Linked DNA regions of Macaca mulatta. The protein of the gene in region 3 binds, or shares a complex with, the protein of the main gene of each other region. Links are inferred from orthologs where the notes say so. Each region holds a gene or a part of one and is shown on either strand. Other genes may lie near its edges.

The links.
Region 1: USH1C (region 3) and ANKS4B share a complex: the UniProt entries of both Homo sapiens proteins name them as parts of the IMAC/intermicrovillar adhesion complex. The link is inferred for Macaca mulatta from reciprocal best matches to the Homo sapiens genes USH1C and ANKS4B.
Region 2: the proteins of USH1C (region 3) and MYO7A are in contact, whole or in part, in a crystal structure (PDB 5MV9), measured with the Homo sapiens proteins. The link is inferred for Macaca mulatta from reciprocal best matches to the Homo sapiens genes USH1C and MYO7A. Residues at the interface, in NP_001284693.1 of Homo sapiens: Glu450, Pro456, Ile457, Val461, Val462, Ser463, Tyr466, Glu467, Lys479, Gly480, Pro522, Tyr526, Asp527, Asp528, Glu529, Leu530, Thr531, Phe532, Phe533; in NP_000251.3 of Homo sapiens: Phe1946, Val1953, Ala1976, Lys1995, Lys1996, Trp1998, Gln2017, Pro2020, Lys2021, Arg2024, Tyr2026, Ser2112, Ala2113, Phe2114, Phe2115, Glu2116, Val2117, Lys2118, Ile2128, Ser2161, Gly2163, Asn2164, Thr2165, Tyr2166, His2168, Leu2181, Glu2183, Thr2184, Ser2185, Leu2186.

Annotation. Positions count from the first base shown.
Region 1 is NC_133425.1:21,174,144-21,177,549, reverse strand, and holds the end of ANKS4B (ankyrin repeat and SAM domain-containing protein 4B), read right to left. Parts: coding exon 3,199-3,406; 3' UTR 603-3,198; downstream 1-602. UniProt on the Homo sapiens protein: As part of the intermicrovillar adhesion complex/IMAC plays a role in epithelial brush border differentiation, controlling microvilli organization and length. Plays a role in assembly of the complex.
Region 2 is NC_133419.1:77,624,890-77,627,225, reverse strand, and holds part of MYO7A (unconventional myosin-VIIa), read right to left. Parts: coding exon 2,273-2,336; intron 1,822-2,272; coding exon 1,705-1,821; exon of another isoform or gene 1,593-1,704; intron 698-1,592; coding exon 614-697; intron 1-613. UniProt on the Homo sapiens protein: Myosins are actin-based motor molecules with ATPase activity. Unconventional myosins serve in intracellular movements. Their highly divergent tails bind to membranous compartments, which are then moved relative to actin filaments.
Region 3 is NC_133419.1:47,967,878-47,971,080, forward strand, and holds part of USH1C (harmonin), read left to right. Parts: intron 1-1,232; coding exon 1,233-1,342; intron 1,343-2,697; coding exon 2,698-2,753; intron 2,754-3,203. UniProt on the Homo sapiens protein: Anchoring/scaffolding protein that is a part of the functional network formed by USH1C, USH1G, CDH23 and MYO7A that mediates mechanotransduction in cochlear hair cells. Required for normal development and maintenance of cochlear hair cell bundles.

The DNA.
Region 1 (3,406 bases), on a different chromosome or scaffold from region 3:
CACTGAGTACTTGAACTCGTCCTGGTTCATAATCCTCTTGTCTTTGTCTCTCATCAAGGCCTTTATATTGCTCTGGCATCTTCTCTTAGTCCCCTGTAGTTGGTATTTAGTTTGAAAGATCTGGAATTCTTAGAACATTGATAACCTCTTATAACATGGTATAAACCTTTTTTATTATATAACAATACTCTGTGATGGAGAGACTACATCCCTGATGCTGAGACCTTTGGAGAACCCTCACCTATTAATTCTGTCAATCATAAAAGAAAAGAACCCCCAAGAAGAGCATAAAGGTACCTGATGAGACCCTTAGGGACAAACATCTCCTAAAAAGGGATGAGAGTCAATGTTCAAGTTCATTTCTACTAACCTGAGTGATGGCTCTCTTGCTATGATGTAGTTAGGGCAGGACGGGGAGCAAGTATCTCATTAGGCAGATTCCAGACAATAGGTGAAGCGGGGATTCTGGCATCTGTGATGATGAAATATAATAGTGGCAGGCTCAGACTACAAACTTTTCTGAGCGCTTTCTATTTGCCAACTGCTTCTGTGCACATTAATGAAGGCAAGCACAACTTCAGTTTATTCCACAAGATATGGTATTTGTAAACAATCATCCCCTAATGCAACATATTTATTCAATGGCTAACAAGCTTTCTGAATATATTCATTAAGGAAGAATAAGCCAATTGTTCATCAGATTTGAGCATCTGTATCCTCCCCTAAACTTGAATCCTCCATGATGCTTCTTGAAGTAACCCAAACAGATGTGCATCAGAAAGCAAACTGAAGATAAACAGCTGTATCTGTATTATATCCAGAAGCAACAGTAAATTCCACTTGATGTAAGTCAGGCTGTGGAGATCTAATGAAGCTTAGCTATTCAGTGGGGTTTCAGTTTGAATTTGGGATTGCCACTGAAAAAATGTCAGCAGCAGTGTTGTTCGTTTCTTTCTTCTTTTTTTTTTTTTTTTTTTTTTTTTTTGAGATGGAGTCTCACTCTTGTCGCCCAGGCTGGAGTGCAGTGGTGTGATCTCAACTCACTGCAACCTCCACCTCTTGGGTTCAAGCGATTCTCTTGCCTCAGCCTCTGGAGTAGCTGGGATTACAGACACATGCCACCAGGCCCGGCTAATTTTTGTATTTTTAGTAGAGATAGGTTTCCGCCATTTTGGCAAGGCTGGTCTTGAACTCCTGACCTCAAGTGATCTGCCTGCCTGGGCCTCCCAAAGTGCTGGAATTACAGGAGTGAGCCAAGTGTTGTCAGTTTCTATCATGGAACCTACAGGTATTCGGATATGCAGCAATGGTGACAGACAACAGTAAATAAACCATGTGTACATAATAAGTATGAAAATGTGAAATTTCCTTTTACGATCAAATCTTCCCTCCAAAGAACTTAGTTTTTTTTTTTTTTTTCCTTAAGTTTCAGTAGGTGTTTACCTTTAAAAAACTCATTAGTTGCAGTTGGCCAGACTTTTTTTCTGTGTTTTTCTTGGTCTCCTCCCCCACCCCTCTTACTTAGGACTGTATTATTCTGCTAGGAATGCCGTAACAAAATGCCACAGACTGGGTGGCTTCAACAACAGAAGTTTATCAACAGAAGTTTATTTTTTCACACCTTTGGAGGCTGGAAGTCCAAGATCAAGGTGTTGGCAGGGTTAGTTTCTCCTGAGGCCCCTCTCCTCAGCTTGCAGACGGCTGCCTTCTCACTGCATTCTCACGTGGCCTCACTGTGTCCCTTCTACCTAGGTGTCTCTTCCTCTTCTTAGGACACCAGTCCTAGGCTGGGTGCCGTGGCTCACGCCTGTAATCCCAGCGCTCTGAGAGGCCAAGGCAGGTGGATCACCCGAGGTCAGGAGTTCAAGACCAGCCTGGCCAACATGGTGAAACCCTGTCTCTACTAAAAATACAAAAAATTAGCCAGGCGTGGTGGTACATACCTGTAATCCCAGCTACTCAGGAGGCTAAGGCATGAAAATTGCTTGAACCTGGGAGGCAGAGGTTGTAGTGAGCTGAGATCATGCCACTGTACTCCAGCATGGGTGACAGAGCAAGGCTCCATCTCAAAAAAAAAAAAAAAAAAAAAAGGAAAAAAGGACGCTAGTCCTATAGGATTAGGGTCCCATTCTTATGACTTCATTTAACCTTAATCACTTCTTTAAAGGCCTTATTTCCAAATACAGTCACATTAGGGGTTAGAGTGCCAACATATGAATTTGACACAAGTCAGTCAACAACAAGTACCCTCTGTATTCTATTTCTTTCTTCACTCTCCCCACTGCCACTCTGTCTCTATTCTCAGGCAGGAGTATTATAGATGCATTTCCATTACTTGTAAACATGTACACATTTGTTAAAGGGTTAGATGCATTTAAGTTGGGCATCAAGCCTCAGGCCAGGAAAGAACTTTAGTCTCTACCACCAGGCAAAGTCATAGAGCTCAGGAGAGAAAAAGAATTAGAATTCCCAGGTTATATGGATCAGAAAGCAAGCAGCAGGATAATGACATGAGATTATAATTTTAAATCCAGAGATAGAAAAGTAAAGGAAGTTTCTTTCATTTTCCTGTCACGCATATGACCCTTTCTTTATTCAAAAGTATGAAAAAGATAGGCTGGGTACAGTGGTTCACACCTGCAATCCCAATGCTTTAGGAGGCTGAGGTGGGAGGACTGCTTGAGGTCAGGAGTTTGAGACCAGGCTGGGCAACGTGGTAAGACCCCACCTCTACTGAAACATACAAAATAAGCCAGGTGTGGGTGTGTGCACCTGTAGTCCCAGCTACTTGAAAGGCTGAGGTGGGAGGAAATCACTTGAGCCCAGGAGGTTGAGAATACAGTGGACTATGATCATACCACTGCAACCCAGCCTGGGTAAGAGAGTGAGACCCTCATCTCCAAAAAAAAAAAAAAAAAAAAAAAATACACACACACACACACACACACACACACACACACACATAAGATAACTGAAGAGAAATGCCATTTTCTTGTTATGAAGTCTCCTCAAGTTTCTCATGGAGATTTATTTGGATGGGCCTCCCAGAGTAAAGTTTGGGCCTCTCTCTCAAGTAGGCATCTCCGATGCCCTAGAATCCATTCCCAGTGATCTGGCATTGGGTAAAGAGGGGGTGCTGCCTGGAGTGCTGCCAGCAGACCACAGCATCACCCCAATGCTCCAGGCCAAAACCCTCCATCACAGGCTGGTGTCGACCAGCTGCCCAGGCTGTTGTAGCACCTGCTTCCTCCTGTTTATAGCATTCAGAACTTTCTTCCTGGGACCCAGCTGCATTTGTATGCTCTGAAGGTCCTCATCAGAGCAGAGCAGCAGAGCTTCTAGATCAATCTGCTCTCTCTTAAAGATAGGCAGGAATTCTTCCAGGTGCTGAGACAGCAAGAACACT
Region 2 (2,336 bases), about 30 Mb from region 3:
TTGGGGCCAGAACTGGGAAATTGGGAGGCCTAAGGCAACTGACACTGTGGCCTGAATGAGATGGCCCAGGGAGAGTTTGAGGAGGGAGTCAAGAAGAAGACAGGGCAGAGCCTTGGGGAACACAGCGTACAGGAGCAGGCACAAAAGGGTCCAGGAAGGAATGACCAAAACACAGAGGAGAGCCAGGAATGTGTGACGCATGAAGCCAATGGACAGATGGTGGTCACGAGCCCTCTTCACTACCTGTCCAGTCAGACCCTCTGGGTGTGCAGTCGGGCTGCTCTGGCCCAGAAACACAGATGCACAGTCACCCCTGCACAGCCGGCCCCACAATCCACATGGGCAGAGCATCCAGTGATACTGAAAGGCCAAGTACTAAAAGGAGCTCAGATTCCATAGGAAGGAGTTTGTTAGTAACTTCAGGAGAGCAATTTTTGTGGAGCAAATGTTGGGTAAAGTCCCAGCAAACGCTGACAGCTTTTGAAGTCGCATGATGGGTGGATGAGTCTGGAGATAGATGATGGCTAGGAGGGCTTGCGGGGTTTGTTCCGGGACTGTGTCTGAGGTTCAGGCAGAGAAGGCCACCCCCACTTGCCTTCTTATCCCTGCTCACCTTTGTTCTGGGATCGATGAGGCTGACCCCATACTTGTTGATGGCAATTAGAAGGATCTCAGGGAAGTTTGGCTCTGTAGTTTGCTAGAAAAAAAGATGAGAAGGCATCAGATGGGGGCCCAGAGCAAGAAAAGCGTTTGGGGAAAGGAATGAAACCTGGCCCCGGCTGGGATAAAGTCAGCCTCTCCTGTTGCCTATGTGGTGCTGACGGCCCTGCCATGACCTCATGGCCTCCACCTTCGCTGGGCCTCAGTGCTGCCCCACATCCCTTCATGGGTCCCCCAGGCCATCCTTTGCTTTGTCCTCCCTCTCAGCCCAAGGGCATCTCATCTTTAAAAAGCCTCCTGAACCCTGCATCTGCCTCCAGCTACTTACCTGTTCTCGCACAGCCGAGCTTCTCAAAAGGCCTCCGATCCTAGCTGTGTGACAAGACCACATCTGTCCTCTCACACCAGCCTCCTCACCATACTCCTGCCTCTGTTGTGCCCCTCAGACCCCTCCTCCACCCACAGCCTGAGAGGCTTTCTGGCCATGTCACCTGGGTTGAAAACCCTCCAAGGCAGGCACCGCTGCAGGAAACCCAGCCTCTCACCTGCTTGGCAAGCTGCTGCTCTCTACAGCCTGCTCTTGCCTCCTGCCCTCACTACTTGCATTTCCTTCCCAGACCTGAGTTCTCACGCCTCCAGGCCTTTGTCTATGCGGGACCCCTGCCAGGAGCACTCTTTCCAGGGTCTCCCTGGAAAGCTCAGATATCACCTCCTCTAGGAGGCCTCCTCAGACCCGGCAGAACCTCCCGAGCTCCGCCACCTGGGCGAGGGCTCCCCACTGTCAGAGCATAGGCCGTCCTCCATTACCCCGGCCTGTTTACACGCCTGCCTCCACTGCCAGGCTGAGCTTTTGGTCCCTCTGTCCCCAGGACTTAGCCCAGCTAAGACGCTGAGCTGGGACAAGGCTGAGGGTACTGCCCTCCTTCCCTCACCAGGGCAGGTGTCCAAGGCCATGGCTGTTTCCCACAGTCCTGGGGAGGAGTCTCTGTGCCTTCTCAATGCCCTGTTCCCCTCCTCCTCTGTTCTGAGAAGCCCATGGTGTACCTTCACCTCGAAGAAGGCTGAGCCAAATGTGGGCCACTTGAAGATGAGCTTCAGGAAGGCCAGCTTGGCCTCCTCCTTGGACTTCCCTGCGTGCTTGTTGAAGTAGGCGACGATGGACTATGGGGACAGGGGGGTCAGGGCTGGGCTCAGTCCTGGGGACAAGCCTGCTCAGGGCAGGCCTGCTCAGAGCTCAGAGTCCTCCCCACACCACCCCTGCCCACTCCAGCCCCATCCTGGAGTGCTGTGAAGGGCTCTCCCCATATTGCAGCTAATGGACTCCCGACCTCCCTTCTCACCCCCAGGCAGGCAGACCAAAGGGTATCAAGGACAAGCAGGTCACCATGGTAACCAGGACAGGGCAAATGACTGCCAATTGGCCACTGAGTGCTTGGCATGGAAGACTGAAGGATAAGGCAGGCAGAGGAACAAGGGTGGGCGGCCTCATCGAGTACAGGAACCACAAGACACACCTCCCTGGGCTGCTGGCCAGCGTCTGCCCCCTTGGCCCCTGGGGTGCCCAGAGGCCCATTCAGGGCCCCACCATTCCTGCTGCCCACCCCATGCTCACCCGCTTCCAGTCATCAGGCGAGACCTGTCGGATAAGGTCCTGGGGCACCAGCTCCCGCAGCAGC
Region 3 (3,203 bases):
AGCCCCAACCCAACCACTGCCTTATTACCCCTGAGACTCTGTCTTGGATTTGTACAAAATGAAAAGGTGAAAGTCACCCATCCCCACTTGCCCTGCACAGAGGCAACTGCTTTCTATGGTTTGGTCTTGCACCGCTTTGAACATAACCAGTCACTGATGACTTTCCTAGGAGCATGTGTTTTAAGCCTCCATGGCCGCCATTGTCAGTATCATACACCACATTCCTGTGGGCCTTCATGCCCACAAGTCTCCTGGATGATCTATTTCAATGTGACCTGGAGAATGTTCTGTGGACATCAGGACCGGGAGAAATTCCTCCAAAAAGGGCTCTGATGTCGAAGAGGTGTGGAAAACGACACACAATCTGTCTACCTGTTGGAAAGCCGCAGTGCATGTTAGCACATTAAAGACTGACAAATCCTGCAGTGGGTAGCTCTGTTCAGCTTATAACTCAGCTTTCCCCAAAAGTATTAGATCCCAGGCATCTCTTCCAGGAGCACCTTATTACAGCATTCATTCATTCAGCAAGTATCTACTGAGGTCCTATTTTGTGTCGGGCATTATGTTAAGTGCTGGGGATACTATGGTGAACCAGAAAGACAATCCCTGCCCACATGGAGCTGACAGCATGGTGGGAGAGACCATCAGTAAACAAGTAAACAAACAGATTAATGATTACAAATTGTGGAAAATGCCAAATAAGAAAAGACTGGGATGCTATGAGAGAACAGGCAAGATCTACATTTGACTGAGTGGGGGTCAGAGAAGCCCCTTCTGACATTTCCTCTCAGACCTAGAAGAAGAGAAAGCAAGGTGGGGAACAGCGACATGAAGTCTCTGCCGCAGGAGACAGCAGTGGCAGCTCAGGGACCTGAAGAGGCCAGCGTGACTGGGCAACGGGGAGGGCCGGCTGGCAGAATTGACTCAGGCCTCTTACTGTGCTGGAAATGCAGGTCTGTCTCCCTCTGTGGTAACAGAGGCTCATCATCAATGATGTCCCGGTTCTCCAGAGCTTGGGTAAGGGGATGTAGATGGGATAGGGATGAAATGCACTTTGACTAGCCACTAAGCAGGTAGCTAGTTTCCCCTCATGCTTTCTGAGTCCACATGACCTTTCAGAACCCAGGTTCAGGTCTCTTCTGCGGTCCGGCAATGACCCCTCTTTGCCTAGCCCTGGGCCAGGCATGCGTCACATACAGCCCTGTTGGCCAATCAGCCTCATCTGCCTGCAGGTGGCATTGTGAAAGGGGACGAGATCATGGCAGTCAACGGCAAGACTGTGACAGACTACACCCTGGCGGAGGCTGAGGCTGCCCTGCAGAAGGCCTGGAATCAGGGTGGGGTAAGAATAAGCCCCCTCCGTCCTTTCCTCCCTCACCTGCCTGCCTCAAACCCTGGGCTCTGCAGCCAGGCCTCACAATCAGGTGCCGCATCCCAGGGCAGGCATCTGGGGTCCAGGCAACACTTTGGTGACACCCACATACCCCATCCAGCCAGTGGTTTAAATCTGACAAGATGGGATTCAGAAAAATAAATGTCAATTCCTGACCTTGGAACCAAAAAGCCAGTGGCTCAAACAGACTCCAGAAGCCAGGGCATGACAGGTCACCCAAGAAAAACACTTAAGGTATTTTCTAAGTGCACACTGAACAAGAATCAAGAGAATTCTGGGGGCTACCAGAAAGCATTAACAAAAGCAGAGAACCCAGGATGAAGGAGGGGCTGGTGGGAATCTGCTCTGCGATCATTAGACACCCACCTGGGTCAGAGCCACTGCATAAGGTTGCCCAGGCTGTGCACTGCACAGCCTGCACAGCCTGAGGGGGTGCCCTTTTACAGACTGTAGTGTGAATGGTGCCTGCTCACGTTGTGCAATGCAAAACCTGTGCAACTGTATGCAGGCAGCCGAGCCTGAGGTATTAAGTTCAGTGCTGAGGAAGCTAACCAGATGGTCCTGGGACCCACAGGAAGGGATGTGGAGAAGAGAAGACTCACGGGTAACATGATGACTATCTTTGATTATCTGAAGGTCTGCATTAGGGCAGAGGGAGCATAAGTGTTCTCTCTGATTCTTGAGGGAAGACCTGGATTGGATGGAGGGAAGTCCTGAGGGGGAGAGAGAGAGATTTCAGCTCAATATTAGGAACTAGCTCATGGTAGAGGGGCCCAGTAATATTTCTGATACTTTTCAGGGGATACATCCAAGCCAAGGAGGGAATGAGGGGCAAGGATGGCAGTAAAAGGGATTCAGGTGTTAGAATCAAAAAGCTGGTCCAGAAGTCCCCCACTTGGTTGTGCATCAGAAAGTGCATCGGAATTACCTAGAGAGGTTGTTAAAAGTACTATTTCCCAGGACTCACCCCTGACTTCTAGGGGCCAAGTCTGTAAGTCTACACTTTTAAGAAGTTCCCCCAAGTGATTCTGAGGTTGCTGCCTGTCCCCGGTCCATAGATCGACATTTGGGAGCTGAGTGTCATTCGAGCACCTTGCAGCCCTGGCCTCTATAGTCCCGAAGCCTCAGAGACTAGAAACATCCTCAGACCATGGCAGTCCACAGTGGGGCCCACGTGTGCCCATGGGAAGAAGGTGCAGGCTGGCTGATCCTGGACCATGGGGCCCAGAAATGGGGACGGAGTGCCAGAGCAGACACACCATCCAACTGAGTGTGCCCCAGAGTCACACAGCTTCTCCCCACAGGACTGGATCGACCTTGTGGTTGCCGTCTGCCCCCCAAAGGAGTATGATGATGAGCTGTAAGTATGTGCAGCCACCTAGCCTGAAACCTCCTCTTCCTTTTCCAGAATCTCAGCCACCTTTCTCCAGCCCACCCCCAGCCTTCTCCCAGCCTGAAGGAATGGCCCAAGCACACAGCTTCTCATAGCCAGAGCTCCTAGAAAACTCCTGGACTAGAGCTTAGTCATTGTCCTTAAGCAGTGTCTGAGCTGCCTCCCGGGCAGTCTTGTCCAAATTCTTCTCTACTCTGGGGAACTGAGGCGTGAGGTCTTAGACCGAATAAGTAGTGATGTTGGGACAAAGACTCAGGATTGTTATTCCCCACTCAGAACTCTATCCCCTACCCCATTAGTAGATGGTTAGAAGGTGTCTGTGTTCATCCTTCACTCTCTGGAAGGTCTTCCTGATGTCTAACTGCATTCACTCATACTGTGCCTCTAGGCAGCCAGGGCCACAGGCTTTTGTCCCCA